3 linked regions of the Saccharomyces cerevisiae S288C genome follow. The protein of the gene in region 1 interacts with the protein of each later gene in a biochemical or structural test. Each region holds a gene or a part of one and is shown in the gene's direction. Other genes may lie near its edges.

The links.
Region 2: the proteins of HCR1 (region 1) and RPG1 form a complex in vitro, tested with the Saccharomyces cerevisiae proteins (one study listed by BioGRID).
Region 3: the proteins of HCR1 (region 1) and PRT1 form a complex in vitro, tested with the Saccharomyces cerevisiae proteins (3 studies listed by BioGRID, with this or other methods).

The regions. Positions count from the first base shown.
Region 1 is NC_001144.5:534,023-545,348, reverse strand, and holds HCR1 (translation initiation factor eIF3 core subunit j), read left to right. Parts: upstream 1-5,759; coding exon 5,760-6,557; downstream 6,558-11,326. Other genes in the region: rRNA-processing protein PWP1, read right to left, coding at 1-1,381; glycylpeptide N-tetradecanoyltransferase NMT1, read left to right, coding at 2,045-3,412; NCW2 (Ncw2p), read left to right, coding at 3,776-4,540; UPS1 (Ups1p), read left to right, coding at 4,813-5,340; peroxin PEX13, read right to left, coding at 6,917-8,077; MMR1 (Mmr1p), read right to left, coding at 8,660-10,135; ATG26 (sterol 3-beta-glucosyltransferase), read left to right, coding at 10,956-11,326. UniProt on the Saccharomyces cerevisiae protein: Component of the eukaryotic translation initiation factor 3 (eIF-3) complex, which is involved in protein synthesis of a specialized repertoire of mRNAs and, together with other initiation factors, stimulates binding of mRNA and methionyl-tRNAi to the 40S ribosome.
Region 2 is NC_001134.8:393,047-402,490, reverse strand, and holds RPG1 (translation initiation factor eIF3 core subunit a), read left to right. Parts: upstream 1-4,213; coding exon 4,214-7,108; downstream 7,109-9,444. Other genes in the region: SAGA histone acetyltransferase complex subunit SPT7, read left to right, coding at 1-1,238; AAA family ATPase SEC18, read left to right, coding at 1,601-3,877; ECM33 (Ecm33p), read right to left, coding at 7,749-8,980, 9,311-9,368.
Region 3 is NC_001147.6:1,011,735-1,023,497, reverse strand, and holds PRT1 (translation initiation factor eIF3 core subunit b), read left to right. Parts: upstream 1-5,845; coding exon 5,846-8,137; downstream 8,138-11,763. Other genes in the region: YOR365C (putative flavin adenine dinucleotide transporter), read left to right, coding at 1-37; oleate-activated transcription factor PIP2, read left to right, coding at 286-3,276; PRE10 (proteasome core particle subunit alpha 7), read left to right, coding at 4,752-5,618; 3',5'-cyclic-nucleotide phosphodiesterase PDE2, read left to right, coding at 8,677-10,257; VTS1 (Vts1p), read right to left, coding at 10,738-11,763. UniProt on the Saccharomyces cerevisiae protein: RNA-binding component of the eukaryotic translation initiation factor 3 (eIF-3) complex, which is involved in protein synthesis of a specialized repertoire of mRNAs and, together with other initiation factors, stimulates binding of mRNA and methionyl-tRNAi to the 40S ribosome.

The DNA.
Region 1 (11,326 bases):
TGTTCGTAGCATCATCCAAGGGGAATTTCCATAATTTGACAGTCTTTTCACCCATGGCCCCTGTACTCATCATACCAGGGATGAATTTGTTTGAACATAATGTGGAGATACCAGCATCGTGTGCCTTCAATGTCCAAACTGGTTTACGGTTTTCATTGTTTCTAATATCGAAAGAATACACATTACCAGAATCAGTACCACATAATATTATATTTTCACTGGCAAATGTAACAGTTTCTATTTCCTCACCTGCCATGGCAGACCAGTATTTACTCATTTGACTTTCGTCAGAAATTCTAACATCTGTTAAAGCTACTCGAGAATCATAACCACCGGTCAAAAGAATGGAACCATTCAACATGTGCCATTCAGATGATGAAACATTTTTGTTTGAATGAATGGAAGCTAAGGAGCGGGCTGCGTTACCTGAGTTCAAATCCCATAGTTTTACGGTATGATCTGCAGAGGTGGATGCTAAAACGGAACGGAAATATTTGTTGTGTGCCATGGATAAAACAGCATCGGTATGATGAGTAGTAATGTGTCCAGTCTTAGACTTCTTCTTCTTCTTTTTGCTTTTCAAAGACACCATTGAATTATCAAGAGGTTCACCCAGAATCATATCGGGAAAGGCCTTGTCAACACAGTCCAAGTTCCAAATTTCAATTTGTGGATCAAACGTACCAATGGCAGCATAATTGGCTGCTTCTTCGGAATTGGATCCAACCTTGTAGTCAAGCCACTCAACACATAGTGGAAAAGCAGGCAACATTAAATCATGGTGAACGTAAAGTGCAGGGTCACGAACCAATCCACGAGCAACATCTGGGTCAGCTTCATCACCTTCTTCAACGGGAATATCGCTACTGTGGAACCCAGCACCGTCATCGTAAACGTAGATATCCAAATACGAAACGTCATCTTCTGTTCTCGCAGCAAGAACTAAATTATCGGATGGGTAAACTTGTAACTCCTGCTTCTCCTCTTGACTATCCTCTTGATTAGGCAATGAAATATATGGATCTTCACCTTTTTCACCCTCATGGAATTTAACATCGCTATCATTACTTAAACCCGGGAACATGGAAACGTCTTTACCACCCTCATTATCTGCAATTTCCTCATCGTCATATTCTTCCAGGTTATATTCTTTCAAATCATCATCTATATCCAACTGATCCTTCAACTTATTAGAACTACCTGTTGCGGCGTCATCTTCAACACCTGATTCGCCTTCTGCTTCTTCCAAAGTAGCTTTAGCATCATCCAAATTCAACTGTGCTAATTGGTTAATTCTTTCCACTTCCTCATCATCCAGAACATACTTTTCAGGAAATTCCGAGGAAAACCCTCTTGGAACCCAATTAGTAGCAGAAATCATTAGTTATTTTGTTTTTTTTATTCGTCTTCTAAGTTTCCAAATAAGGAAGGCGTAATAGACTCAACTGAGGGTACACTTGCTATCGTTTACAAATTAAAACTCTTTGCTTCTTTCAAACTCATCTCAGCTCATCGAGACAAATTTTTCACTTCTTTTTTTCGAGGGCGAGAAAATTTATTACCCGACTGGATATAATATATATAGAATAATACATATGATCAACTCAAGGTAGGGCCTATGGAAAAGTTTTACAACGGACAAGGCAATTAAATTGAATTGCACGATTCTCTAATTTTTTATTCTTGCAGATTTGTTTCATGATAAATTCGCCAGTTAGAGTTCTTATTATGGGTGGGTAAGAATTCAGTTAACGTTTAAAATTCTCAATATTAATCGCAAAGTGGAAAGCAAAGCAAAGTCTCACTAGAAATTGCAGGCGGACTATGTATAATTACGTAATAGTAGTTCTTGCAACAGAGGATCCTTTCGACTCTTTTGAAAGGATACTGTCATAAAACAATAGGATAAAATAATTTCAGCCGTTGCTCATGATAAAAGTAATTCACTATAATTGAAGATGATATGTGTTGCACGCTTTTTAGAGAATGATCTGTACAATAGCTCTGGTTGTCATAGAGCTTCGGTAGTAAACGTATTTATAGAATGTCAGAAGAGGATAAAGCGAAAAAATTAGAGAATTTATTGAAGTTATTACAGTTGAATAATGACGATACTTCAAAATTCACTCAAGAACAGAAAAAAGCTATGAAAGACCACAAATTCTGGAGAACGCAACCGGTCAAAGATTTCGATGAAAAGGTGGTGGAAGAAGGCCCCATTGATAAGCCAAAGACACCGGAAGATATATCTGACAAGCCACTACCTTTATTGTCTAGCTTCGAATGGTGTAGTATTGATGTGGACAACAAAAAACAGCTTGAAGATGTTTTCGTTCTACTAAATGAAAACTACGTGGAAGACCGCGATGCAGGCTTCAGATTTAACTATACCAAAGAATTCTTCAATTGGGCTTTAAAGAGTCCAGGTTGGAAGAAGGATTGGCATATTGGTGTTCGCGTTAAAGAAACACAGAAATTAGTTGCCTTTATCTCAGCCATACCAGTAACACTTGGTGTTAGAGGTAAACAAGTGCCTAGTGTAGAAATCAATTTCTTGTGCGTTCACAAACAGCTAAGATCGAAGAGATTAACACCTGTTCTAATTAAAGAAATTACGAGACGAGTGAACAAATGTGACATCTGGCATGCATTGTACACGGCAGGTATTGTTTTGCCAGCACCTGTGAGTACGTGTCGTTATACTCATCGTCCCTTGAATTGGAAGAAACTTTATGAAGTAGATTTCACAGGGTTACCAGATGGGCACACAGAGGAGGATATGATTGCTGAGAATGCGTTACCGGCCAAAACAAAGACAGCGGGATTGAGAAAATTAAAGAAGGAAGATATTGACCAAGTTTTTGAGTTGTTCAAAAGATATCAATCCAGGTTCGAACTAATTCAAATTTTCACAAAAGAAGAATTCGAACATAATTTCATTGGTGAAGAATCGTTACCATTGGATAAACAAGTAATTTTCTCATATGTAGTCGAACAGCCCGATGGAAAAATTACAGACTTCTTCTCATTTTACTCATTGCCATTCACAATCCTAAATAACACAAAATATAAGGACCTAGGCATCGGGTACTTGTATTATTATGCCACCGATGCAGATTTCCAATTCAAAGACAGGTTTGATCCAAAAGCTACTAAGGCTTTGAAAACAAGATTGTGTGAATTGATTTATGACGCTTGTATTTTGGCCAAAAACGCTAATATGGATGTTTTTAACGCGTTGACTTCGCAAGATAATACATTGTTCTTGGATGATTTGAAGTTCGGGCCCGGTGACGGGTTCTTGAACTTCTATTTATTTAATTATAGAGCAAAGCCGATTACCGGTGGCTTGAATCCCGACAATAGTAACGACATTAAAAGGCGTAGCAATGTCGGTGTTGTTATGTTGTAGTGGCTGAAAGGACGAGGCGTATATAGTTTTCGTGTACATAGCCGACAGAATTTGACCACATTTAGTTTTTCCGCATAGTCAATTGACGAAGTGAAAAAATAATTAATCCAATGGCTGGCTTTAGAGTGTCAGCCTCCAAAATAAATCCAAAAATAGACAAAGAGAATCACTATAATTACCGCCTTGGAGTCCAAGTTGGCTTGAGAACTCGCATTTATTTTTAGCGACTGAGGTAGCTGAAAAACGCCTACTTTCTCAGAAGGCGGTAGTGAGCATATATAAGTATGTAAGAAAGATCAACTCTTCTGGACTAGATACTCACCGATCTAGTGAAAATATAAACAAACCCAACATATATATAAAATGAAGGCCTGTTCCATATTATTTACCACCTTAATTACTCTAGCCGCTGCTCAAAAAGACTCTGGTTCCTTAGATGGCCAGAACTCTGAAGATAGCTCACAAAAGGAAAGCTCAAACTCTCAAGAGATCACACCTACCACGACAAAGGAAGCCCAAGAAAGCGCATCAACTGTAGTTTCTACCGGAAAAAGCTTAGTACAAACTAGCAACGTCGTCAGCAACACCTATGCTGTGGCTCCAAGTACCACCGTAGTGACGACGGATGCACAAGGCAAAACCACGACACAGTACCTATGGTGGGTGGCCGAAAGCAACTCTGCCGTAAGCACAACTTCAACTGCCTCTGTGCAGCCCACCGGAGAGACGTCAAGCGGAATCACCAACTCCGCATCCTCCTCAACGACATCAACATCAACGGACGGGCCAGTTACTATAGTAACTACCACGAATTCGTTAGGTGAGACTTACACATCTACTGTTTGGTGGCTACCGTCCTCAGCCACAACTGACAACACGGCTTCATCAAGTAAATCATCTTCGGGATCCTCATCAAAACCGGAATCAAGCACCAAGGTAGTAAGCACTATCAAATCAACTTATACCACTACGTCAGGTTCTACAGTAGAGACACTGACCACTACATACAAGTCTACAGTCAACGGTAAGGTAGCGTCCGTAATGTCCAATTCTACCAATGGCGCCTTTGCCGGCACTCACATAGCTTATGGTGCGGGTGCATTCGCCGTTGGTGCCCTTTTGTTATAGAATGTATAATCAGTTCTGTATACCACCACATAGTTCTGCATTTTAATAAAACTCTTTCTTTTTATACACTGTAGGTAACCAATAATATAACTATTGTTATCATCGTGCTTGCGTATTTTTTTTCTTTCGGGTGAAAAACTCCGCAGTATTTCTCGCTCTCCCTGGATAATAAGCTAGAAAAAAAAAATATATATGACAGATGGATGAGTAATCATATTCAATAAGTATTGTCTGGCTTCTGAGACGGCGGTAAGATATCCTTAAGAGTTGCAATGGTCCTTTTACACAAAAGCACACATATATTTCCTACCGATTTTGCCTCTGTTTCACGCGCCTTTTTTAATAGATACCCCAATCCATACTCCCCCCATGTACTATCCATAGACACAATATCAAGGAACGTTGATCAAGAAGGAAATTTGCGCACAACGAGGCTGTTGAAAAAGTCCGGAAAGCTGCCCACATGGGTCAAACCCTTTTTAAGAGGTATAACAGAAACATGGATAATCGAAGTTTCCGTAGTGAACCCCGCTAACTCCACAATGAAAACTTACACTAGGAATCTGGATCACACTGGAATCATGAAGGTTGAAGAATATACTACCTATCAATTTGACAGTGCTACAAGTAGTACGATAGCAGACAGCCGGGTGAAGTTTTCAAGTGGCTTCAATATGGGTATCAAATCTAAGGTAGAGGATTGGTCGCGCACTAAATTTGACGAAAACGTTAAGAAAAGCAGAATGGGCATGGCATTTGTTATCCAAAAACTCGAAGAGGCGAGAAATCCTCAGTTTTGATGTTCCCATTTAAAGATCTTTAAAGATATCACCATGGGCGAGCGAAATTGAGAAAACTAGTGCAGCTCGCATTTGGTCACGTCCTAAAAATTGTAAATAAGCGCTGGTTCAACAAAATTTAATATACACACATATATAATTATTTATTTATAACAGTCATTCTGCTAAACTATACATCAAATGTCACTAATCTTGATATTATGGTCGTCCCTGTATCATATTAGACGAACACACCTGTTTTTGGGCATTTTCCGAATTTTTTTTTCATGCTAGCTAAGTCAGAAGTACTACATTAAAGAATTGAGAACTGACTGCTCCCACCATTCTTGAACTCTCGCTTTAAATTATCTTACTATCTTTTGAGTTCCTTGTAACTATTCTATCCTAACCACCACCTCAAAAAAAAAAAAGTAATAAAAATGTCTTGGGACGACGAAGCTATCAATGGTTCTATGGGTAATGATGACGCCGTTTTGATGGACTCATGGGATGCTGAAATTGGTGATGACGAACCTGTCATGCAATCATGGGATGCAGAAGAGGAAGAAAAGAAGCCTGCCCCAAAGCCAAAAAAAGAACAACCAAAAAAGGTTAAAAAAGGGAAAGAATCCTCCGCTGACAGAGCCCTATTGGATATTGACACATTGGATGAAAAGACACGTAAAGAATTAATCAAAAAGGCTGAAATGGAGTCTGACTTAAACAATGCTGCAGATTTGTTTGCGGGTTTAGGTGTTGCCGAAGAACATCCAAGGGCTCGTGCTTTACAAAAGGAACAAGAGGAACAAGCTCTAAAAAGACCCGCCTTTACCAAGGACACACCTATCGAAACACATCCTTTGTTTAACGCCGAAACAAAGAGAGAGTACCAGGATTTAAGAAAGGCTCTTACTGCTGCTATTACACCAATGAACAAAAAATCTCCGCTGAACTACTCCTCATCGTTAGCGATTGATTTGATTAGAGATGTAGCAAAACCAATGTCCATCGAATCTATAAGACAAACAGTTGCTACTTTGAACGTTTTGATCAAAGATAAGGAAAGAGAGGAGAGGCAAGCTCGTCTGGCCCGTGTTAGAGGTGGTACTGCTACTGGGGGTGCTGGTAAGAAGAAAGTCAAAGGTAAGACCAATTTGGGTGGCGCATTTAAGAAAGATCAAGATTTCGACCTAGATGGCCCCGACGATTTTGAATTCGGTGATGACGACTTTATGTAATCTGCTTATTGTTTCTTTGCTATGATAAACTTGTCCATCTCATTTTGTTGGTGAAAAAAAGCGAAGCCCAGCACCGCAGGCCTTGGATATTGCCATATCACAATTGTCCTGAAATTGTGAATGTCTATATTCCCATATATATATCCATAGGCGTTTCATTCATATAAAAATAAATACGCATATGTGTACGTAGGAGATTGTGTTTTCAAGATGGAGAATATAATGTGTTTTTGCACCGTTATCTGGCTTTTTGTTAAGAAGTACTTCGTCTCGTTTCTGCTGATTCTCCCTGGAATATTTACATTACTTTAGATTTTACTATATATATATGCGAATATATGTGTGCAAATATTGATGCACTAGTGTGTACGCGTTTCATCATCAACATGCTCAATTTTCTTCCGTCTTTTTATGATCTCAATATAGTTATACGGAATGTAGCCAATATTGCCGTTCTTTGTCCTCACTTTCCACCAGTCAGAATCCCTCCCAAGAGGGTCTTTCTTACTCAAAATTGCCATCAAGTCGCCCTTTTTTAAAGCAACTTCCATCTCTGGGTTTTCTGGAACAAAATCATATAACGCTCTTGCAAATTCTAACTTCGAAGGATCAATAGGCTCGCTACCATTTCCTTGCGATGCTCGTATGGTTCCAGAGGTCTGTAGTTTAGTAATAAATTTGTTTAGTAGATATGGAAAACCAAATACTGCCATCAAAAAAAATAGTAGCGGTTTCCATGAAATTTTCCTTCTTGTGGCTTTCTCATTAGAATTTATGGTACCACTATCATTAAACTTTTGAAAATCTTCAATTAGTTTATTTTTGCTTCCTTCAGATTCTGCGAAATTCTTTGGTGGTATTCCTAGTCTCCCCTTAGTAGCACGATAGAGTATTTTTTTAAGAAACTTCATTATAGCAAAGATACCAAAAAATGAACCTAGCATTTCCTTCAAATTACCAAACTGTTCTGCGACGGATATCATGGTGAAAAACGAGTTGTGTGTGGCCATATAAGTAGATTCCAGCATTTGTGCAAATCCAGTAACAGCGCCTATCAAACTTTCTATTAACTGAAAGGTGGCCTTCGTCGACTCACCTAGTCCACTTCCATTATTCATTCCATATCCCGCTCCTGCACCGTACCCTCCTCCATAAAACGATCCATAATTGTTGCCATAGTACGATCCTCCATAGCCATACCTCCCTATGCTGTTTCCGTATATAGAGTTCATACTATACGGATTATTATCATAGGGTATCCCATAATTGCTATTACCGTATATTCCCGGTATTGTATTCGATTCGCCGTAGGTACCAGAGGAGTTAAGTGCCGCAGGCCGCGGCAAAACTTCGGGAGCAGACTCACTTGCACTATTACTGTTATTGCTTTCTTCAGTTGGCCTGGAATCCTGCTGATTCGAGGTCATCATCGCACTTAAAGACTGAGCATTACGCTGTGGCTCCTCTAACGAAGCACTGGTCTCCCAAGGTTTAGGTCGTGGTACTGCTGTGGATGACATCGCAGGTATTGTTATAGTATAGAATCCCCTTGATATTTATAGATAGTATATGCACTTTCGAAATTGTTGTTCATTTCCACATGCGTTTGCTCACCAACTATCTGATATAATTAATATTAGTCCGGCGGGCTTCGGAAATAAAAAAAATTTGGCCCGCTGAAAAAGGTGTCATTAATCAGATAAAAGAAGACTTTATTATATCATTTTTTTTGGTAATTAATGTATTTAAGTATAGGTTGAATAAACTTGAATGCAATATATAAATTATGTGTTTGTGATACCAGTCACACCGTGATTGGATTTTCTATTCAGCTTTTAAAAGCGGGGTATTTGCTTAGACGACACTATGAATAAATAGCTGCAGCATTCGACGTTGTAAGAAAAAAGATTAAATCACACGACAAGCCCTTTGAAGTTCAGTAATATTCAAATAAAAATTGTCCAATGAGAAGGATGGATAACGGAGAAATCACGCACATTGCAGATGCGTAACTCGATAGCCTACAATACAAAGCGCCTATCAGCATTGATGTATTGTGAATGTTTGTGTAAAATAAGTTAATTTAATTTGAAGTTGACGCTTCATTTTTCCTTCTTCTCCACTTGGACAGGAAGGTTAAGTTGGAAACCTCTTTTACTTTCCCCACTCTGCACAGATGCTGTTGTGGAAATAGCAGAAGTTGGCTCCTCTTCAAAAGCAACATTTAAATCTTCGCTAGTATTAGCATCCGTATCATCGTTTGTTAGATGATCTTCCTCGGACGAAGTTCCCGAAGAAGAATCTGGCTGTTCTTCAATTTTCTTTAGGTCTAAAACAGAAACGCGTGCCAGTCTAGTCTTAGGGCATGGGATTCTTGCTGAATTTCCTTCAGTTTTTGAAGTGGAGGTGGCCACTACTGCGGAGGATTCAGTCAATTTCTTAAGAACTTTTTTACAATTGAAGAATTTTTTCTCCAGTTGCTTGACTTTTCTCTCAATATCTCTTTGGGATCTTTGAGCCTGTATACTAGGATCCTTCATAACCTCAAGCATAAATCTTTCTTCAATGTATCTGTTCGTCGTCATGGAATGCACTAATTTTTCATTCTGCAACTTTAATTCTGTAATTTCAAGTTCTAGCTGCTTGATCTTTATGTCTAAATTCGATTTTTCACGACTATTTGCCTCCTCTGCATTGGCCATAGAGGCCATTTGCATTGAAATATGTTGTTGTCCGTCACACCATTCGGGCTCATAGTCCGTCGACGTAGACGAGATAAAGCTATATCTGTTGTTGTTGTTATTGCCTTTGAGACCATATTGAACGAACCCGTTATTATCCGTAGGTAAATTGTCTAGATTCAGATCCTTAGGCAATTCGTTCACTTCGGTGCTTAGACACTGAGTGGAGCCGCCGGAGACGACTCTAAGTCCTTTGTCCTCGACCTTTCGCACCCCATGATTTTCTGGATCTTCCAAAGGAGTAGCAGGAACAGGAACGTATGAGGGGAGCAACCCTTCGGCGTTTTTCCGTAATATCGGTTCTTCCGCACAGACTTTGGCCTCAAATGAAGGGGGATTGCGTTCTTTCTTTTGTACTTGCGCAACGGATTCTGAACTGCGCAGCTGCTCTAGTTTGTCCTTGATGCTTTGTTTAATGATGTTTTTCTCTATGTTCAATGGATCAGGGTTTGAATTCTGGCCTTCACTAGTAGTTTTCTTGCTATTCTTCAATAGGGCAGATAGCAATGGCAGATTACTGGTTGTTTGAGATAGGTACTCGGGTTTTAACATCTTTGGAGTGTTGTTCAAAAACTGAAACCTAATAGGCGATACAGACCTCATAGTGTCAGAGCCCCTTCTTTGTTTAGAACGTCCACCTCTTGATAACTCGCTCAATTTAGAGAGTGATGTTGGATATAACAAGGAATTACCAATCGGGCCAGTGTCTAATTTTAGCTTCGTAGGTGAGTTCAATAGATTTTGAAAAGAGCCTGCATTTCTTTGGTCATCCAAACAAAAGGACATTGGTGAGAGTTTTGGAGTAAGTTGTTCCGATTTCATTGTTGGAGAATTCATTTTTTTAGTTGTTTAGTTTATTAGTTGTGTTTTTTTTTTTTGATTTTGCAATGAGTACTGGCTTGTAACAAGTTAAAAGAAAAGAAGATTAGTTAAGAACAACGGAATTGAAACGAAAGTAAAATAGTTGGAACCGAGGATAACTATGTTGATTTAAAAGACTTCACACGCGATTCTTTTTCCTTACTGCTATTTAGGAAGATGTGCCCCTCCAAACCTTTCCTTTATTCCCAAGGCAATCAAAATAACAGAAAATACAGCAGTAATAAAGCTTAATTCTCTAGGCTCACTTAAACTGAGCAACAATTTGTTGATCGTACGTGTTATTTAATACTATCAGGAAAAAATAATCTAAATGTGAGAAAAACTTCTATCTGTAACCACTTTGTCTTGAATGAACGTAGAAAATTTAAAAACGATCAAGCTTGCGTGAGAGAACTTGTAAAGTAAGGAAATCTGATTTCTAAACCCATAATGATTCTTCATCGAGCTTTCTTGCCAATTGGCTAATTAGAACTCTTTTTAGTTTATTTCCCGAAAGGGGTATTTATATTTTGCCCGTTTGGGACAAAATTAACCCTGCTTACACCAGGGTTTATCTAGAAATAAAATAGGTCATTGTTTTGAGATGACTTGGAAAAACTTAACCCTGATGTGACTGTAACATAACATCTAAGAAAAAAGGGACTAAAAGTCAACAGAAGGAGTAGATCGGAAAGTCATTGCATTTATCACTGATAAAGTCATGGCTGTCAAAAAGTAAACATCAGAAGTTCAGTTGCACTTTATGCTTTGGTGAAAATCCGTATAACTTAAAAGAATGCCCATCACTCAAATCATATCAGCGTCTGATAGCGAGGCGGGGCCAAAACCAAGCATTTCGTTGGTACCTGATAAGCCATCTGAGCCAGAAACTTCCCCTAGGCATCATCGCCTTTCAAGGTCACTTTCGAAGTTCAAGCGCTGGAGAGGAAGATCAAATAGCAGTTTATCGATGGGGTCGTCTGAGCAGCAAGAACTGCAGGACAGTCCAAATGAAGCCCGTAGTGATGATGACGAAAACGGTTACAATAACGATAATGCAGATGACTTGGCGAAATCCAAGTATATGATGAAAAGTATTGCCGGTTTATTAACTACTGCTAGTGTGTATGCAGGGATGAATAATGCTCAAGAAATGAATGTGTTGTC
Region 2 (9,444 bases), on another chromosome or scaffold:
AAATATCCCTGATCAGAATGTTACAGAGCCCTTTATCGGCTCAAAACTCCAGAAGCAATCCCAACGCTTTCCTTAACAACCACATTTATAATTACACTATTATTGATGACTCACTCGATATTGATCCGGTGTCACAGCTTCCAACGCATGATTACAAAAACAACAGGGAGCTGATATGGAAATTCATGCATAAGAACATATCTAAGGTTGCTATGGCCAATGGGTTTGAAACTGCCCATCCATCAGCAATAAACATGCTTACTGAAATCGCCGGGGATTACCTATCTAATCTGATAAAGACTTTGAAGCTTCATCATGAAACTAACTCCTTAAATAGAGGAACAAATGTGGAAATGCTGCAAACAACACTGTTGGAAAACGGTATCAACAGGCCAGACGATCTATTTTCCTATGTTGAATCTGAATTTGGTAAAAAAACTAAGAAACTTCAGGACATCAAACAGAAACTAGAAAGCTTTTTGAGAGCCTTATTAAGGCCAACTTTGCAGGAGTTGTCCGAGAGAAACTTTGAAGACGAGAGCCAAAGCTTTTTTACAGGTGACTTTGCCAGCGAATTGACTGGTGAAGACTTCTTTGGTTTTAGAGAGCTTGGATTAGAAAAGGAGTTTGGAGTTTTGAGTTCATCTGTTCCATTACAGTTACTGACTACTCAGTTTCAAACTGTTGACGGGGAAACCAAAGTGCAGGCCAAAAAGATCCAACCGGAAGAATCAGACAGCATTGTGTATAAGAAAATTACAAAAGGTATGCTGGATGCTGGTTCATTCTGGAATACTCTACTTCCCCTATTACAAAAAGATTATGAACGTTCCAAGGCCTATATAGCAAAGCAAAGCAAGTCATCTGCAAATGATAAAACCTCAATGACTTCCACAGAAGACAATTCTTTCGCTTTACTAGAAGAGGATCAGTTTGTCTCAAAGAAAACCGCAACGAAGGCAAGATTACCTCCTACTGGTAAGATAAGTACCACATACAAAAAGAAACCGATCGCAAGCGCGTTTATACTTCCAGAAGAAGACTTGGAAAACGACGTAAAAGCGGATCCAACAACAACTGTAAACGCCAAAGTGGGTGCAGAAAATGATGGAGATTCTTCCTTATTTTTGCGAACGCCTCAACCTTTAGATCCTTTGGATATGGATGATGCTTTTGATGATACCAATATGGGCAGCAATAGTTCATTTAGCTTGAGCCTTCCTCGCCTTAATCAATAATGAGCGCGCTAAATAGTTGAATATTTTATCTTTAATTAAATACATTTGCTTATAAAGGTTGTACTATTTACTTGTAGTTGATGTAGGATTCCAATTCAATGCACTTTAATACTCAGAGTACGCTTTATACTTCTGCAGTACCCTCTCTAAAATGTCACCTAGTATTTTTTTCTCTTTACACAAGCGTAGCGTCACTAAAAAAAGGTATTTCCCATGGGTTAATTCGGTATCACACTATACGTTAGGCGTACCAAATTTCGAGATTCATGAAATTGGCTTATTCGTAGCCTTTAAGTACTACCGTTGTTTCTCTCAAAGATAAGAGCAAATAGTACCGTATATTCAGCCTTTATAAATTGAGTATGTTCAAGATACCTGGTTTTGGAAAAGCTGCTGCAAATCATACTCCACCAGATATGACAAACATGGATACCCGTACACGCCATTTAAAGGTGTCAAACTGTCCAAATAACTCCTATGCACTCGCAAACGTAGCTGCTGTCTCACCAAATGATTTCCCTAATAACATTTATATTATTATCGATAATTTATTTGTTTTCACAACTAGACACTCCAACGACATTCCACCGGGAACCATTGGATTTAACGGTAACCAGCGTACCTGGGGTGGTTGGTCCCTAAATCAAGACGTGCAAGCAAAAGCATTTGATTTATTCAAGTATTCCGGTAAGCAATCGTATCTTGGTTCAATAGATATAGATATCTCATTCAGAGCTAGAGGTAAGGCGGTAAGCACGGTATTCGATCAAGATGAGTTAGCCAAACAATTTGTTCGTTGCTACGAATCTCAAATATTTTCTCCCACCCAGTACCTTATCATGGAGTTCCAAGGCCATTTCTTTGACTTAAAAATTAGAAATGTCCAAGCAATCGATTTGGGTGATATTGAACCAACCTCCGCTGTTGCAACTGGGATAGAGACAAAGGGAATTTTGACAAAACAAACACAAATTAATTTTTTCAAAGGAAGAGATGGTTTAGTTAATTTGAAATCATCAAATTCATTAAGACCAAGATCAAATGCTGTGATCAGACCGGATTTCAAGTTTGAAGATTTGGGTGTCGGTGGTTTGGATAAAGAGTTTACTAAAATTTTCAGAAGAGCGTTTGCAAGTCGAATCTTTCCTCCTTCAGTTATAGAAAAACTGGGTATTTCTCATGTTAAAGGTTTGCTATTGTACGGTCCTCCAGGTACTGGTAAGACCTTAATTGCAAGAAAGATTGGTACAATGCTGAATGCCAAAGAGCCCAAAATCGTCAATGGTCCAGAAATTTTGAGTAAGTACGTTGGTTCTTCAGAAGAAAACATTCGTAATTTATTTAAGGATGCAGAAGCAGAATATAGGGCCAAGGGTGAGGAATCTTCCTTACATATTATTATTTTCGATGAGCTGGATTCTGTTTTCAAGCAGAGAGGTTCAAGAGGTGATGGTACCGGTGTAGGGGACAATGTAGTTAATCAATTGTTAGCTAAAATGGATGGTGTTGATCAATTGAATAATATTTTGGTTATTGGTATGACCAATCGTAAAGATTTAATAGACAGTGCTCTTTTGCGTCCAGGTAGATTTGAAGTCCAAGTTGAAATTCATTTACCCGATGAAAAAGGAAGACTCCAAATTTTCGACATTCAGACGAAGAAAATGAGGGAAAATAATATGATGAGCGACGATGTTAACTTAGCTGAGTTAGCTGCGTTAACAAAAAACTTCTCTGGTGCTGAGATTGAGGGTTTAGTGAAGAGTGCAAGTTCTTTTGCAATCAACAAAACCGTCAACATCGGGAAAGGTGCCACAAAACTTAACACTAAAGATATAGCAAAACTTAAAGTAACAAGAGAAGACTTTTTAAATGCACTCAACGATGTTACTCCCGCTTTTGGGATTAGTGAAGAAGATTTGAAAACATGTGTGGAAGGTGGAATGATGCTTTATTCCGAACGAGTTAACTCAATATTGAAGAACGGAGCCCGTTACGTCCGCCAAGTTCGCGAGAGTGATAAATCCAGGTTAGTATCTCTATTAATCCACGGCCCTGCAGGGTCCGGTAAAACAGCTTTAGCCGCTGAAATTGCTTTAAAATCTGGATTCCCATTCATCAGGTTAATTTCTCCCAACGAGTTGTCAGGCATGTCAGAAAGCGCAAAAATTGCCTATATTGATAACACTTTCAGAGATGCGTATAAATCTCCACTAAACATTCTTGTTATTGATTCGTTAGAGACTCTAGTTGATTGGGTACCAATTGGTCCAAGATTCTCTAATAACATTTTACAAATGCTAAAGGTTGCATTGAAGCGTAAACCCCCACAAGACCGTCGTTTATTGATCATGACTACTACATCAGCTTATTCGGTACTTCAACAAATGGATATCTTGAGTTGCTTCGACAATGAGATAGCAGTTCCAAATATGACCAATTTAGATGAATTGAACAACGTCATGATAGAATCAAACTTTCTTGACGATGCTGGTAGAGTTAAAGTTATTAATGAATTATCAAGGAGCTGTCCTAACTTCAATGTCGGTATTAAAAAGACCTTGACCAACATTGAAACCGCAAGGCACGATGAAGATCCCGTGAACGAGCTTGTTGAGTTGATGACCCAATCCGCATAATTATTTCAAATTTTTCATGTCCTTGTATTTTTATTCTTTATCCCTTCCAATCAGAAAGGATCTAGTGAACAAGTTCTTTCCTCTATGGTATATATTTTAGTGATAAATTTTATAAAATTATCAAAACCAAGGCATCCTTTCCTTTTATTCTGTCATTGGAATCTGCCTGTCATAATTATCACCCACCGGGTAAAGATGATAATTTTTCAGTCGCTTTGCCCGAGAAGCTTTGCCAGGTGAAAAATTTTTCTTGGTGAACTAAATCGAAAGTAGATATACTTACAACTATAGAGAGAGTTCCAAAATAAACCATACAAACGCCCAGGAAACATCAAGATGGCCCCCCCACCATTCCGTCCTGAAAATGCCATTAAGAGAGCCGATGAACTTATTTCTGTTGGCGAAAAACAAGCTGCTTTACAATCTTTGCATGATTTCATAACTGCCAGAAGAATCCGTTGGGCTACACCTTCAACTGTTGAGCCAGTCGTGTTTAAATTCTTGGAAATTGGTGTTGAACTAAAGAAAGGTAAGCTGCTAAAAGACGGTTTGCACCAGTACAAAAAATTAATTCAAGGATCTACCGAAGGTTTGGTTTCTGTCGGTGCCGTTGCACGTAAATTCATTGATTTAGTCGAATCTAAAATCGCTTCTGAACAAACTAGAGCTGACGAACTTCAAAAGCAAGAAATCGATGATGATTTGGAAGGTGGTGTTACCCCAGAAAATTTGCTGATTTCTGTTTACGAGTCAGATCAATCTGTGGCTGGTTTCAATGATGAAGCCATTACTTCATGGTTAAGATTTACTTGGGAATCATATCGTGCAGTCTTAGATTTATTGAGAAACAACGCTTTGTTGGAAATTACTTATTCTGGTGTCGTTAAAAAAACTATGCATTTCTGTTTGAAGTATCAGCGTAAAAACGAATTCAAGAGATTAGCTGAAATGTTACGTCAACATTTAGATGCTGCTAACTACCAACAAAGTAAATCAGGAAACAATTTAGTTGACTTGAGCGATGCTGATACCTTGCAACGTTATTTAGATCAACGTTTCCAACAAGTCGATGTTTCTGTCAAGTTGGAATTGTGGCACGAGGCTTATAGATCCATTGAGGATGTTTTCCACTTAATGAAAATATCCAAACGTGCTCCTAAACCATCTACTTTGGCTAATTACTACGAGAATCTCGTAAAGGTCTTCTTTGTTTCCGGTGATCCATTGTTGCACACTACTGCCTGGAAGAAGTTTTATAAGTTATATTCTACCAATCCAAGAGCCACGGAAGAAGAATTCAAAACATATTCTTCTACAATTTTCCTATCCGCTATTTCTACCCAACTAGACGAAATTCCATCTATTGGCTACGATCCTCATTTACGTATGTACCGTTTATTAAACTTGGACGCCAAGCCAACTAGAAAGGAAATGTTGCAATCCATTATTGAAGACGAATCCATTTATGGTAAAGTTGACGAGGAATTGAAAGAATTGTACGATATCATTGAAGTTAACTTTGATGTCGACACAGTGAAACAACAGCTGGAAAATTTATTAGTCAAATTGTCTTCTAAAACCTACTTCAGCCAATACATCGCACCTTTAAGAGACGTCATTATGAGAAGGGTTTTTGTTGCTGCCTCTCAAAAATTCACTACTGTCTCCCAGTCCGAATTATACAAGCTCGCTACCCTACCTGCTCCGTTAGACTTATCTGCTTGGGACATCGAAAAATCGCTGTTACAAGCTGCTGTGGAAGATTATGTTTCAATTACCATCGATCATGAATCTGCTAAGGTTACATTCGCTAAAGATCCATTTGACATTTTCGCATCAACTGCTTCTAAAGAAGTCTCTGAAGAAGAAAACACAGAGCCAGAAGTCCAAGAAGAAAAGGAGGAAACTGACGAAGCTCTTGGGCCACAAGAAACTGAAGACGGTGAAGAAAAGGAAGAAGAATCTGATCCTGTTATTATCCGCAATTCTTACATCCACAACAAGTTGCTTGAATTATCCAATGTCCTACACGATGTTGACAGTTTCAACAATGCTTCATACATGGAAAAGGTTAGAATTGCCCGTGAAACTTTAATTAAGAAGAACAAGGATGACCTTGAAAAGATTTCCAAGATTGTTGACGAACGTGTCAAGAGATCTCAAGAGCAAAAGCAAAAACATATGGAACATGCTGCCCTACATGCTGAACAGGATGCTGAGGTCAGACAACAGCGTATTTTGGAAGAAAAAGCTGCTATTGAAGCTAAATTGGAAGAAGAGGCTCACCGTCGCTTAATTGAAAAGAAGAAACGTGAATTTGAAGCTATCAAAGAAAGAGAAATCACAAAGATGATTACTGAGGTGAATGCTAAGGGACATGTTTACATTGACCCTAACGAAGCTAAAAGCTTAGATCTTGACACCATTAAACAGGTTATTATAGCTGAGGTATCAAAGAACAAGAGTGAATTGGAAAGTCGTATGGAATATGCTATGAAGAAGTTAGATCATACGGAAAGAGCTTTGAGAAAGGTCGAATTGCCATTGCTGCAAAAAGAAGTTGACAAGCTACAAGAAACAGACACAGCAAATTATGAAGCTATGAAGAAAAAAATTGTCGACGCCGCCAAGGCCGAATACGAAGCCAGAATGGCTGATCGTAAGAACTTGGTCATGGTCTATGATGATTATTTGAAGTTCAAGGAGCATGTTTCGGGCACTAAGGAAAGCGAATTAGCTGCCATCCGCAACCAAAAGAAGGCTGAATTGGAAGCTGCCAAAAAGGCCAGAATTGAAGAAGTTCGTAAGCGTCGTTACGAGGAAGCCATTGCAAGGCGTAAGGAAGAAATTGCAAATGCTGAAAGACAGAAGCGTGCTCAAGAACTCGCTGAGGCTACCCGTAAACAAAGAGAAATCGAAGAAGCTGCTGCCAAGAAATCAACTCCATACTCTTTCCGCGCAGGAAACAGGGAACCTCCAAGTACACCAAGCACTCTACCAAAGGCGACCGTTTCTCCAGATAAAGCTAAATTGGATATGATCGCTCAAAAACAAAGAGAAATGGAAGAAGCCATCGAACAGAGACTAGCCGGTAGAACAGCTGGTGGGTCCTCCCCAGCTACTCCAGCTACTCCAGCAACCCCAGCAACCCCAACTCCATCTTCTGGTCCAAAGAAAATGACTATGGCTGAAAAGTTGAGAGCCAAGAGATTGGCCAAGGGGGGCAGGTAACAGACAACGCAAAATGATCTACTTAATTTATACCGTTTTTTATACGTATAAGAGTATGTGTACATAATAACAATTTATTAGACTATTTCTTTCTGATTGCTTTTTCATGTCAAAGGAAGGAGCAGAAGAGCAGTAAAGATGGCAGTTATTTTAAAAACGAATTTCGAGAAATAGTTGGTATAAATAACTATAAATAACGTTTTACTGTTTTAAAAAAGCGATCCGTTAAAAGGCCCTAACGATTCTTTAGAAACTTGAAACGTTAGCGGAAGAGCACTTTGTTTTAAACCGTAGTAAGAATTTTTTTATATTTTATTTCATTTACTTATTTTTTTTTTTTCTTTACTCCTTTTTTTTATGTTACTTAGACAAATTTCATTATATTAGGTAAAGCTAAAGGATGGTAAAAAGTCTGAGTGGTTCTTTTAATTAAGGTAGCAAAAGTTGATGAAACTGGAACTTCAAAACAGTAATAATATAGTAACAATAAGAAATAAAAGAGATATTAACGACACTAAAATTTTATCTACATATAAAATTCAGTGATGAACCAACCGTCTCATAATAAAAAAGGAATGGTAAAGAAATCATTAGAGAAGAAATTAAAGTAATAATAGAAACACAAATTGTTGCTTTAATCTTATAGTAAGGCAACGCCAACAGCAGCAACGACACCCATGAATGAAGTGGCTGGAACAAGTTCTGGAGCAGCACCCTTAGACTTCTTAGAAGAAGAGGAAGAAGAGCTAGCGGAAGCTGAAACGTTAGCTTGAGCATTGGAGGCATCACCACTAGAAGAAGCGGAAGATGTAGCAGAGCTCTTGGATGATTCAGTAGAAGTAGAGGATAGCTTAACGGAGGTAGATGTGGCACCGTTCTTGCAAACAAAAGAGTCACCTTGAATAGCACCGTTACTTTGCAACTTCTTCAAAGCGTTACAGGAGAAGTTACTGGAAGAAGAGTCGAAGTTAGCACCACCTCTAACAGACTTCAAAGAAGATAAGTCCAAGGTTGAGAAGTTACCAGTAACTTCAATGGCACCACCAACAGTTTGAACCTTGTTAAAACCGTCAATGACCTTCAATTGTGTGTTGTTAGCAATGATGAAACCACCACCAACAGTAGTCAAGTTACTGAAAGCGGCCTTGGATAATTCATCGTTGGAGACGATAGACAAAGATTGACCAACCTTGCTCAATTGGGTCAAGTTCAAACTTGGCAAAGTGTTGTTAATGAAACCTAAGGAAGCGTTAACAGTTTGCAAACTACCGAAAGAAATAGAGTTAACATCTCTCAAAGTGATGTTGTTAGCCCAGACCAAATTGTCGAAGGCCAAAGTAGTGTTGTCACCGTTGGAAGAGAATTGTAAAGAGTCAGAGACACTTTCCAAGGAAGATTGGAAAGAGTTTAGATATCTGTTGTTGTTGATGTTAAAAACATTAACCTTCTTCAAAGTGGAGAAACCTTCGACACTTTCCAAAGTGGTGTCAGAAACAATAATGTTGTTAGCATTTTGTAAATCGGTGGAGAAGGTAGAAATGGCAGGCAAAGTCACCATGTTAATGGAGTCTACTTCTTGCAAAGAACCGAAAGAAGCACTGGTCAAAATGATCAATTCTTGCATGTTCAAATCACCGGTGATTTTCTTGATAGAGTCAGCGGAGAAAGAAGATAAAGAACTGGAGTTGAAGATAGTCAAGGAACCATCAATCTCTTGGATACTAGCCAAAGCAGCGGAACCCAAGTCACCGGTGATGGTCAAGTTACCAACAATGGTACTACAACCGGAGATTTTGTCCAAATCAGCTTGAGCAGTAGCAGTGGCAGAAGTACCAATACTACATGAAGATGGAATAGAAGTAGTTGAGTTAGCTGCTTAGATAAAGAAAAGTAGTGTTAGTATTCCCGATCGATTTATACATGTATTATTCTGTTTCATTACTCGCCCTAATCCTATGACAGGCAGAAATATTGAAGAATATTCCAAAACCATCCTCACGAGATCTCGAAACCCGTTTCCTCTTTTGGAAATTTTTTTTTTTCGCATTGTCCGTCCGCGTCAATCGAGACCTATGAAAAAAAGCCCAGTAATCGACAAAGAAAAAAGAAAAGAATGAAGAGGACCACGAATCTACTCGAGATTTGTGAGGAAAGAGGCAAATAAAGAAAAAAAGATGAAAAAAAAGGAGAATGTGTACATACCAGCTAGAGCGGAGGCACTTAGAATAGCAGTAGCAGTCAAAGCGTTCTTGAATTGCATTGCGGAATAATAGTAAAATTAAAACTAGATCTTTAAAAGTCAAATAAACGTATTCTTGATAGCTCAAAGGGACTTG
Region 3 (11,763 bases), on another chromosome or scaffold:
TAAACAAAATTCGAACTGTGAATATCTGTATATGTGAATAAATAAAATCGTGACTAATACGTCCGGTAGGATTTGCCTTCCTGCAAAATTTCTTCTGATTTTGGAATTTGAAAGGTTGTAAGACCATCTCGGAACTAAATATAATCTCCGGAGTATCTCCAACGAAGAAAACATAAAGCGTTGTTAGGACTTAATAGAGGTCAGATAAAGAAAATCTACTGAAACGTATAGAGCGGATGAAATATCACTTTCTGATCTTGCTGAACAAAATTTCTTCGATAAAAGATGTACTTTACAGACGAATCATCACCGGCAATGAATAGAGTAGGTAAAAAAAGGAATAGACTTTCTTTTGTTTGCCAAGCTTGTAGAAAAGCAAAGACGAAGTGTGACCAGGAAAAACCTAGATGTGGCAGATGTACTAAACAAAACCTCTTTTGTATATATGATGTCGCCAGACAGGCGGCCCCTAGGAATCCGAATAAGGATGCCACCATAGCGAGACTGAAAAAGGAGATTCGTTACTGGAGAAATAAAACCGTGGATTTGACTCAAGAAAAGAAAGACTTCTACACTGCATTGAAAAGGCCGACTGAAGAATTAGCTGCTAGAAGGACATGTAAAAGCTTGCAGGAAAATAGCTTTCCAATAAGTCTTTATAAGACTCATCCCAGATTGATTATGACCAAAGTGATGAAAAGAGAAATCAACCCTTTATCTGAGAAGTACTTAATATTTCAAGATACCTTTCTGAAGACATTAATTGCCTCCGTGCTTCTAAGTTGTTCCAGAAACTCCATGATTCCTGCTTTAAATGCAGATATTAGTAGGTCGAGGACACAGCCATGCGTAAAGAATAACGTTGTAAAAATGAGAGAGGTTCTATTGAAAAACTCAAAATACGAATCACAAAGAAAATCCATTAACGAGTTTACGGACAGGCTACTACAGAGAAAGAACCCTGAAGAACAGATTGCGGTAAATAAAGTAATTTCTTTATTATACAGTAACAGGGAATCGTCATATTTAGAGGATACATGCCCCACCGAAAACGACTATTCTGATTTGTTGAAAGGCTACATCAATGAAATCGAGAAAACGCTCCCTCCCAAGGCAATCATTGAACAGTACCTCTCTCATTTCTTTGAGCATATTTTCCACCTAATCCCTTTCGCCAGCAAGGAAATGTTGGAGGAATCAATTCACACAACAGTACAGTATAATGAATTAGGAGAGGTACGACTATCGATGGGCACAACCCTTATACGAAATAAAATGGAGAATCTGTGTATCTTACTGTTAATTTTGAGGATCGCGTATATCTCTTTGACATTTATAGAAGATAAGATTGAAGATTACAGTCCGTATATTACCAAAGAGATGCTAGAGCAATATCCGATTCAAAGCGAAGTAATTTTCCTAGCGCAGCAGATACTTGCATCGGAAAATTGGTGTGCTTGTGCAAATGAAAATACCATTTCATGCTTACTCTATATCTGGTGTGCATTTGTTTTTTCCCCAACTGAGGGTGATTTTCTGTTAGAACAACCGTCGGATGTTATAATTAACCTTGTCATACTAATAGGGACGTCTATCGGATTACATCGTGACCCATCTGACTTTCCAGCCTTGAACCACCCCGAAGCTTCAGACAAAAGGCTGCTAAATTTACGAAGGATACAGTGGCTATCAATTATCTCTATGGCAACTCTGGAGTCAAGCCTGAAGGGTAGACTATTGGTCTCACCCCTTTCAATGATTGATCTTTTCATTGACGTTCGGGATCCCAATTGTGTAGAAATCTATAAAAAAAGGGTTAAGAAGGATCTAACAGGTTCCGAATCGGATGAGCAACTGCTCGAAATCCATGAGATTTTTTTCCATAGGGCTCAATTAGCATTATTCTTGTCTGATTTGAATAATATAACCATTTCATACAGTGGTTCGGTTCCAATGGATACACTAGAAACTTTACGCGTTAAAGCCAATGAACTTTTAAAAAACAAATTTCAGCTAAGAAGTGTGGATATTAACATCTACGACGAAGAGAAGACATTTCAAAAACTAACGTTCAATTCAATTTTGAATTCTATAAGTTTATCGGGCCAGATCTTGGGTAAATTAATGATGTTAAGGGCCTCAATAGCGCTGATGTTATATTTTGAAACACTTGCAATGGAGAGAAGCGAATGCTTATCCTTCTTCTATAAGTATTTTTTTCAATGTTGTGCCGACACCATTTCCCTAATCAGATTTTTTTTCCTGTATTTCAATGGCAGTTACGAGAAAGTTCTTTCTTCTTTAGTTTGTTTCATCACTACAAAAGTTATTCAATTGGCTGTTCCTACCACGATGTTTACCCTTTTGGTCATCATCATGCGGGTAGAGCTGGCCAAAAATATGCTTCTGGTCAAATGTAACGAATGCAATGCCAGAGGTGACATTAGTGACCTCCCAGAAATAAAGGAGAAAATAAAGTCATTGGACACTATCAAGGAGAACTTCGAGAGGCTTTTGTTGGAAGTATATTTACTTGCGTCCCAAAACCTGAGATTTAAATATTTCTACATTTTCAAGATGTTGACCTTGTTTGACGTATTCATTCAAAGGCTGAGGAAAGGTCAATTATTTTCTGGTTTGTTTGTCAAAGTAGACAAAGACTTGACTACCAAAAAAATTGCCACAATGTTGGAGTTGACACTTGGAATTAACTTGGACAAGTCTGACCATTTAATTGATAGACTAAAGGGCAAAAATCTCACTGTTAACTTTACCCTTGATCAATTATACCAAATCATCAAAGAATTTGACAGAATAAAAAACATCGGTGTTGCTGACCCACAAAATTCTCTGAATCCATCAAAACCAAACATGAAAGATAATACACCCACAATTGAACTTTTACTCAACTCCAGCGTGGAAAATGAGAGTGTACCACCGTACAGCAGCTCAAATGACCCTACAAATGTTGGTAATGCCTCCACTTATAGCTTAGCACACAATATTAGTAACCAAAATAATGAGGAAAACATGCCTCCGTCAATTGGTTCGAGTGAAAGTAACCGTGCCGCTCCTAATCTAAACTTTATGCCGATAAACAATAACTACAATAACAGTGGTTCGAACATTAATAACAATGACAATGTTAAGTTACCGAGTAATTTTAAAAACTACTATGACCCTCCCATGTCTTCTTTGGACATATCCATGGATGTTCCCGATATTTTTGGTAGCCTTGATTTCTTCGATTATGACCTACTTTTCCAGAACGACTAGGAAGTCTTTTCCAGTTTTCCTGAGATGTATACGGCCACTTCATTGCGCCTAATACGGTAGAGTGTCGACATAGTTATTCTATCAGGTTGTATCATGACAAGAACTTGTGAGCTTTCCGCTTAGATATGGCTCAAATAATATACTGTAAATTATGGTGCCTTTTGATAGCGCATTGAATTGGGACTGGAAATAATGTCAACTATTGCAGAGATAGAAAAGAAATTCAAGACTTTGTTTTGTATTTTATTTAATATATATATTATACATAAGTTAAAAGCGCAGTATATAAGGTAGGTAATATCGCTGCCATCACGGTAGGAACGCCAGTTTATTCCATTTACAATAGGAAGATCTGAAACTAAAACAACGGCCGTGCTTATAAAGCATTACCAGTATGAAAGTCCTAAACAAGAAGGAAGCACCTCCTCCAAAGACGAACCCACCTTAATTATATAACTTTTAATGTCTAGGTTATAAAACATTGACAGCTCAGACGATAGAAAAACATGTGATACGAATCATTTCGCCGTTGTGTGTTTTAAGAAGAAAAATGTTAATGTTAGCAAGACGAAATCACACGTATAAATAAATATAGCAGCACGACCAGCTTGGAAGTTCAAAAAAAAAAAAAAAGTGAAGATAGACAATCATAGGCACAATTTCTGATGGTAGTGAACATATAATGGGCAGACCAAGCTCTAGCAACTTAATGCAGAGAAAGATTTGAAGCTACCGCCGCGTGTTCAGCGTGACTCTCTATAATAGGCCATTTATGTACAAGATCTTCTGCAATCCTATCAAGTATTCGTACTACTATTTTCCCTGCCAATTAGACGTGATGAAAAATATTGCTGGGCTTTGGTTTGAAAACGACTATTTAAATAAATATTACCTTTCCTTTTCTTCAATTGTTTCTCATCTCCTTCGGCCTCCGTTAAGTATATGTTTTTTTACGCGTTGTCAATGACAATACCGCAGGATGCGAATGTGTGACTTCGTAATCATCGGTGTGAAAAATACTCTAACTTTAAACAAAGGTAACATCTAAACTGTCTGGAAATATGCAGCTATTCCCATGTATACACACTAGAAAGAACAGTATTTCCCAGGTCCCAGAAGTTCTCTGTATATGTAGTCCTACCCGTAATTTACCCTTTGAAGAGATAATCTGAGCACTCAGATTTCGACCCTGATGGGGTCACTTTTCTGAATCATTGCTGACATTGCTTCTGAAAAGTGTTGCCTGTGTCTTTATTCCACTTATGAGTTGGTAAGCTTCCTCACAATTTATAATGGGTTCCGATAGCTAAATCACGTTTAACGAAGATTTCGCCGCCCCTCTAAATCGGTGGCAAAAATAAGAAAGTAAGTGGTAATAGTGGCGGTAGAGGGTTTATTTGGTAGTGCAGTTGTAAAGCTTTCAAACACATTCGAGCGTCGCATCATCAAATTAACAAAAGCATAACTCTTCAGCAATGACATCAATTGGTACTGGTTACGATCTTTCCAATAGTGTTTTTTCCCCCGATGGTAGAAATTTCCAAGTAGAGTATGCCGTCAAAGCAGTCGAAAACGGTACCACATCAATCGGTATAAAGTGTAACGACGGTGTAGTCTTTGCAGTGGAAAAGCTCATTACGTCTAAACTGCTGGTCCCACAAAAAAATGTCAAGATTCAAGTCGTAGACCGTCACATCGGTTGCGTTTATTCAGGTTTGATTCCTGATGGTAGGCACCTGGTTAATCGTGGTCGTGAAGAAGCCGCCAGCTTCAAAAAGCTGTATAAAACGCCCATTCCCATTCCTGCATTTGCAGACCGTTTAGGACAATATGTGCAGGCGCACACTTTATACAACAGTGTTAGACCGTTCGGGGTCAGTACCATCTTTGGTGGTGTAGATAAAAATGGTGCTCATCTTTACATGTTGGAACCAAGTGGCTCTTATTGGGGCTACAAGGGGGCTGCCACTGGGAAAGGTAGGCAATCTGCGAAGGCTGAATTGGAAAAATTAGTTGACCATCATCCAGAAGGTCTTTCAGCAAGAGAGGCCGTTAAACAAGCTGCAAAGATTATCTATTTGGCACACGAGGATAACAAGGAAAAGGATTTTGAATTGGAAATAAGTTGGTGTTCACTGTCGGAAACGAATGGTCTGCACAAGTTCGTTAAGGGCGATCTGCTACAGGAAGCTATCGATTTTGCCCAAAAAGAAATTAACGGCGATGATGACGAGGACGAAGATGACAGTGATAACGTCATGTCCAGTGATGATGAAAATGCTCCAGTGGCTACGAATGCAAACGCTACCACTGACCAAGAGGGTGATATTCACCTAGAATAGGTGACATTCTGATAATACGTTAAGAAGAACCAAAGAGTTGAAATAATATGAACTCACGTGTAACGCCGCGAAACAAAAAATACATTTTAGTACCTTCCATTACATTTTACGTAACTAGATAAACTTCTCATTGTGCACCATCTTATCATTATTACTTGATCGCCTAATACTTTTATTCTTCTGACACCTATTACCCTCCTTTCCATATTTTGGATAGCGGGAAACTAATGAAAAATTTTCTTCCACGCACATTGAAAAATATTTACGAATTATATTTCAATAACATCTCAGTACATAGTATAGTATCTCGCAACACACAGCTCAAAAGGTCAAAGATAATTCAAATGACTACCGAGACTTTCGAAGACATTAAGCTAGAGGACATCCCTGTTGACGACATTGATTTTTCCGACCTGGAAGAACAATACAAGGTCACTGAAGAATTCAATTTCGATCAGTACATCGTCGTTAATGGTGCCCCAGTCATCCCATCCGCCAAAGTTCCTGTTTTGAAAAAGGCTTTGACTTCTTTGTTTTCCAAAGCTGGTAAAGTTGTTAACATGGAATTTCCAATTGATGAAGCCACTGGTAAGACGAAAGGTTTTCTCTTCGTGGAATGTGGCTCAATGAACGATGCTAAAAAAATTATCAAGAGTTTCCACGGTAAAAGACTGGATTTAAAACATCGTTTGTTTCTTTATACTATGAAAGATGTTGAAAGATATAATTCTGACGACTTTGACACCGAATTCAGGGAGCCTGATATGCCTACATTCGTTCCATCTAGTTCCTTAAAATCCTGGTTAATGGACGACAAAGTGAGAGATCAGTTTGTATTACAAGATGACGTGAAGACTAGTGTGTTCTGGAACTCTATGTTCAATGAAGAAGATTCTTTGGTGGAATCTAGAGAGAACTGGTCTACCAATTATGTTAGATTCTCCCCAAAGGGTACCTATTTGTTTTCTTACCATCAACAGGGTGTAACTGCATGGGGTGGTCCAAACTTCGATCGTTTGAGAAGATTCTATCATCCAGATGTAAGAAACTCTTCCGTCTCTCCGAATGAAAAGTACCTGGTCACTTTCTCCACGGAACCAATCATTGTAGAAGAAGATAACGAATTCTCTCCATTTACCAAGAAAAATGAGGGTCATCAATTATGCATCTGGGACATTGCTTCTGGTCTGTTGATGGCAACTTTCCCAGTGATAAAGAGCCCATATCTGAAATGGCCTTTAGTTAGATGGTCTTATAATGATAAATATTGTGCTCGTATGGTTGGAGACAGTTTAATAGTTCACGATGCTACTAAAAACTTCATGCCATTAGAAGCTAAGGCTTTGAAGCCTTCTGGTATTAGAGATTTCTCATTTGCTCCAGAAGGTGTTAAATTACAACCATTCAGAAACGGTGACGAGCCTTCTGTTTTATTGGCTTATTGGACTCCTGAGACTAATAATTCCGCTTGTACTGCTACCATTGCTGAAGTTCCTCGCGGTAGAGTGCTAAAAACCGTTAACTTAGTTCAAGTCTCCAACGTAACTCTGCACTGGCAAAACCAAGCTGAGTTCCTGTGCTTCAATGTCGAACGTCACACAAAGTCTGGTAAGACTCAATTCAGTAATCTACAAATTTGTAGGTTGACTGAAAGAGATATACCAGTTGAAAAGGTTGAATTGAAAGATAGTGTCTTTGAATTCGGTTGGGAACCCCACGGAAATAGATTTGTTACAATTTCTGTTCATGAAGTAGCTGATATGAATTATGCTATCCCAGCAAATACAATCAGATTTTACGCTCCAGAAACTAAAGAAAAGACTGACGTAATTAAAAGATGGAGCTTGGTCAAAGAAATTCCAAAAACTTTTGCCAACACTGTTTCTTGGTCTCCAGCGGGTAGATTTGTGGTTGTAGGTGCTTTAGTGGGTCCAAACATGCGTAGATCAGACCTACAATTTTACGATATGGACTATCCAGGTGAAAAGAATATTAATGACAATAATGATGTTTCAGCTTCTTTGAAAGATGTTGCTCATCCTACCTACTCTGCGGCTACTAATATCACTTGGGATCCATCTGGTAGATACGTTACCGCATGGTCAAGTTCTTTGAAACACAAGGTGGAGCATGGTTACAAAATTTTCAATATTGCTGGTAACTTAGTTAAAGAAGACATCATTGCTGGCTTCAAGAACTTTGCCTGGAGACCAAGGCCAGCTTCCATTTTGTCTAACGCCGAAAGGAAAAAGGTTAGGAAAAACTTGAGGGAATGGTCTGCCCAATTCGAAGAGCAAGATGCAATGGAAGCTGACACCGCCATGAGAGATTTGATTCTACACCAACGTGAATTATTGAAGCAATGGACCGAATATAGAGAAAAAATTGGCCAAGAAATGGAAAAATCTATGAATTTCAAAATCTTTGACGTTCAACCAGAAGATGCCAGCGATGACTTTACCACCATCGAAGAGATAGTTGAAGAAGTTTTGGAAGAAACAAAGGAAAAGGTCGAATAAATTTCATGAACTTACGGGCTTGTATGTAAACTAACAACAATATCTAGTATAAGTATGAGAATTAGTCTAATATTCATAAATACTACAATAGGCTCTATTATCTTTGTAATCTGCAGGGGTCGCTCTCCTCGTACAAAATTATAAAAGGGTCCTGCGTCCTTTTCTAGTTGCACTTTTCTTTTTTTGTTCTCCGAGAATTTCTTTTTACTGGGCACAATTTTTCCTCTTTTCTTTTTGTTTTAGGCATTATAAAGAAGAAAAATTGGCTTAGAGAGAATATACTTGCAAATTGAAAACTATAGTCACTGTGAGAGATTGGACTAAAAAGCGCAAATTTGAGATAAAGTGGGATCTTCCTGATATTAGCTGTCGTTACTGGTTTTAGCACGAGTTACCGACTATTTTGCGTTTTTCTTTTAAATTATTTTGTTGTCCCTCTTTATCTTTTGCACTGACGCTTTATTAGCCACTAATTAGAGTATCCAGACATTCTTTTTGAGATCACTACTACTTAATTGAAGAAAACATAACCTATTGATATGTCCACCCTTTTTCTGATTGGAATACACGAGATTGAGAAATCTCAAACAATTGTACAGAATGAACACTATTTTGATAGAGTGATTGAGCTTCAAGATTTGGATTCTCTGATGGTAGCATTGTATAAGGACAGAGTTTCGCCTTTTCCAAACGTCCATAACTTTGAAACGGGCGTATCTATAGTTCTTTATGACCCTTCAAAATTTCAATTATCTGTGCGACAATTGGATGTTCTATTCAAGCGATTTTTCCCATCTTTCAATATTTCTGCGATAGATCATACACGAGAGGAAAACCTGCAACGTCTTGAATGTGTTGAGCGTGAAAATAGCATCTGTCGTAATAGAATAACGAGAATTAACCACTGGATGTATCACCATCATGATGATACTCCAGACGGTATTAACAAAAACAGCTATGGTACTGTAAATGGGAATTCTGTCCCCACTCAAGCATGTGAAGCAAACATTTACACTTTATTATTGCATTTGAATGATTCCAAGGCACAACATTTACGAAAGGCATCAGTGCCAAGGCTAATTCGCAACATCGAGTTTATGTCTTTTTTGTCAGATCCAATAGAAAAAATTTCTCAAGAGGGATCACATTATTGGAACATTCTATCAACTTGGGACTTTTGTGCTTTATCATTAAGCACTCAAGAATTGATTTGGTGCGGGTTCACGCTTATCAAAAAGTTATCTAAGGATGCAAAAGTACTCATTGCAGATAATAAGTTACTGCTACTACTATTTACTTTAGAATCATCCTATCATCAAGTTAACAAATTTCACAATTTTAGGCATGCCATCGATGTCATGCAAGCCACATGGCGATTGTGTACATATCTTCTTAAAGATAATCCTGTACAAACATTACTGTTGTGTATGGCTGCCATAGGTCATGATGTCGGTCATCCTGGGACTAACAATCAACTATTGTGCAACTGTGAATCAGAGGTTGCTCAAAATTTCAAAAATGTCTCTATCTTGGAGAATTTTCACAGGGAATTATTTCAACAATTGCTATCAGAGCATTGGCCTCAATTGCTATCTATCTCCAAAAAAAAATTTGATTTTATTTCCGAGGCTATTCTGGCCACAGATATGGCATTGCATTCTCAGTATGAGGATAGATTAATGCATGAAAACCCAATGAAACAAATCACTTTGATATCTCTAATTATTAAAGCTGCAGACATCTCTAATGTGACGAGAACCTTGTCAATATCAGCACGTTGGGCATACCTCATTACTCTCGAATTTAATGATTGCGCTCTTTTGGAAACATTTCATAAAGCTCACCGCCCAGAACAAGACTGTTTTGGCGATTCATACAAGAATGTTGATTCTCCGAAAGAAGATTTGGAATCAATTCAAAATATTTTGGTGAACGTAACAGACCCTGATGATATTATCAAAGACCATCCGCATATTCCAAACGGTCAAATATTTTTCATTAATACGTTTGCTGAAGTATTTTTCAACGCATTAAGTCAAAAATTCTCAGGATTAAAATTTTTAAGCGATAATGTCAAAATCAATAAAGAATACTGGATGAAACACAAGAAACCACAATAGCAAGAATATCAAAATTTCTTGTACCATTCATTGTATAAACATATAAATATATACATTTACTACTAGTATATTTCCTTTTGTGAAGTATTTGTGCTAAAATTCATTACCCATTTTATTTTTTTTTCAAATATGCGTTCTTCCTTTAATATTGTATAATAATAACCCAGTTGATTATGGCTATTGTCTGTTTTAAGTGATATATATATATATATATAGATACATACATTAAATTTATTTTTCTTTGATTAAATTAATGTTTTTTAGTATAGTGATACATATTTCCCGAGTTAAAAGTTAAGTAAATAGTTTTATGCCATTAAACGGTGCAAAAACAGGTGTAATCTAAAATATTAAACTCCATAAAAGAAAACGTTAAAATTACAAAATAAATGAAATATGTTCCCTGTGTTGGTATATGCAAAGTAAATAAAAATTAAATCTTTATGCAACGTCAAGACAATCAACTTTATTATGCCAGATTTAATAAGCAGATCTATCAATTAAATCACGTTCTTTGTAATCAATAACGATTCCAAAAGCCTTCAACAATTTTCTCCTTGCACCCAAGGCAAGAACGCCTTTTTTTTCTAAAGTCTCGTCATCTAAGTAAATCAATTCGATCCACGGGGTTCCGCTTAAGGCATCTGAATACTTGTGTAGTCTTAACGATTTTAACCACATGGGTATATTTTTTAGTAGCTTGGGGTCTGTCAAACTCTTTGGATTCATCGAAGAGTTACTCGATAAAGGAGTGTTTCCGTTAGATGATGTAGATGTCGATGTGGCACTTGTAGGACCAGCATTAGGATGCGTAATGGTATTATTGAACACGTTCTGGTTGGACTTATTCAAATCAGTTCCTGATGGTCTTGAAGTATTCGAAAAATATGAGGTGGTATTATGCAGAGGATGATGCAATGAATGATGGTGATGAGAATTGTACTCATTTCCCATGTTAGACCTTTTCTTTGGTTGGAAAAAAGAATGGGAACTTGAGAGAGAGTGAGAAAGATAGTTGGGATTCTCTGATGGCAACTTTTTATATTTGGTACTGTTACCGTTGTTGAATTGTTTCTGGACAGGAATGAGATTTGGGCTTGAATTAACATGAGGCTCAGCCGACTTGGACCTTTGACTAGCGTCGGTGATGTTGTCATATATGGGTTGGCTAATTGGTATTGAATGTGGCTGAGGGGACCAATTTTGATACAACAAGTTATCGGTATTTTCAGGGTCATTAGTTATAGGACTTGAAGAAAAGACTGAATCAATATTCAAAATTTGTGTGTCATCCCTATTAGGTATAGGTGATGCAATTGCAGGTAGCGGTGGGGAGATGAAGGGAGTGTTTGTCAAAGTCTCTATTTTTAACTTAGTATATTTCAAAACATCATCATTCAAAATGGAAAGGATATTGTCCATTACAGTATTTTGTTGGCTGCTGTTCAGCATGGATATCCAAGAACATAATTGGTTGATGTCTTGGCTGAAATTGGTGCCCATGTT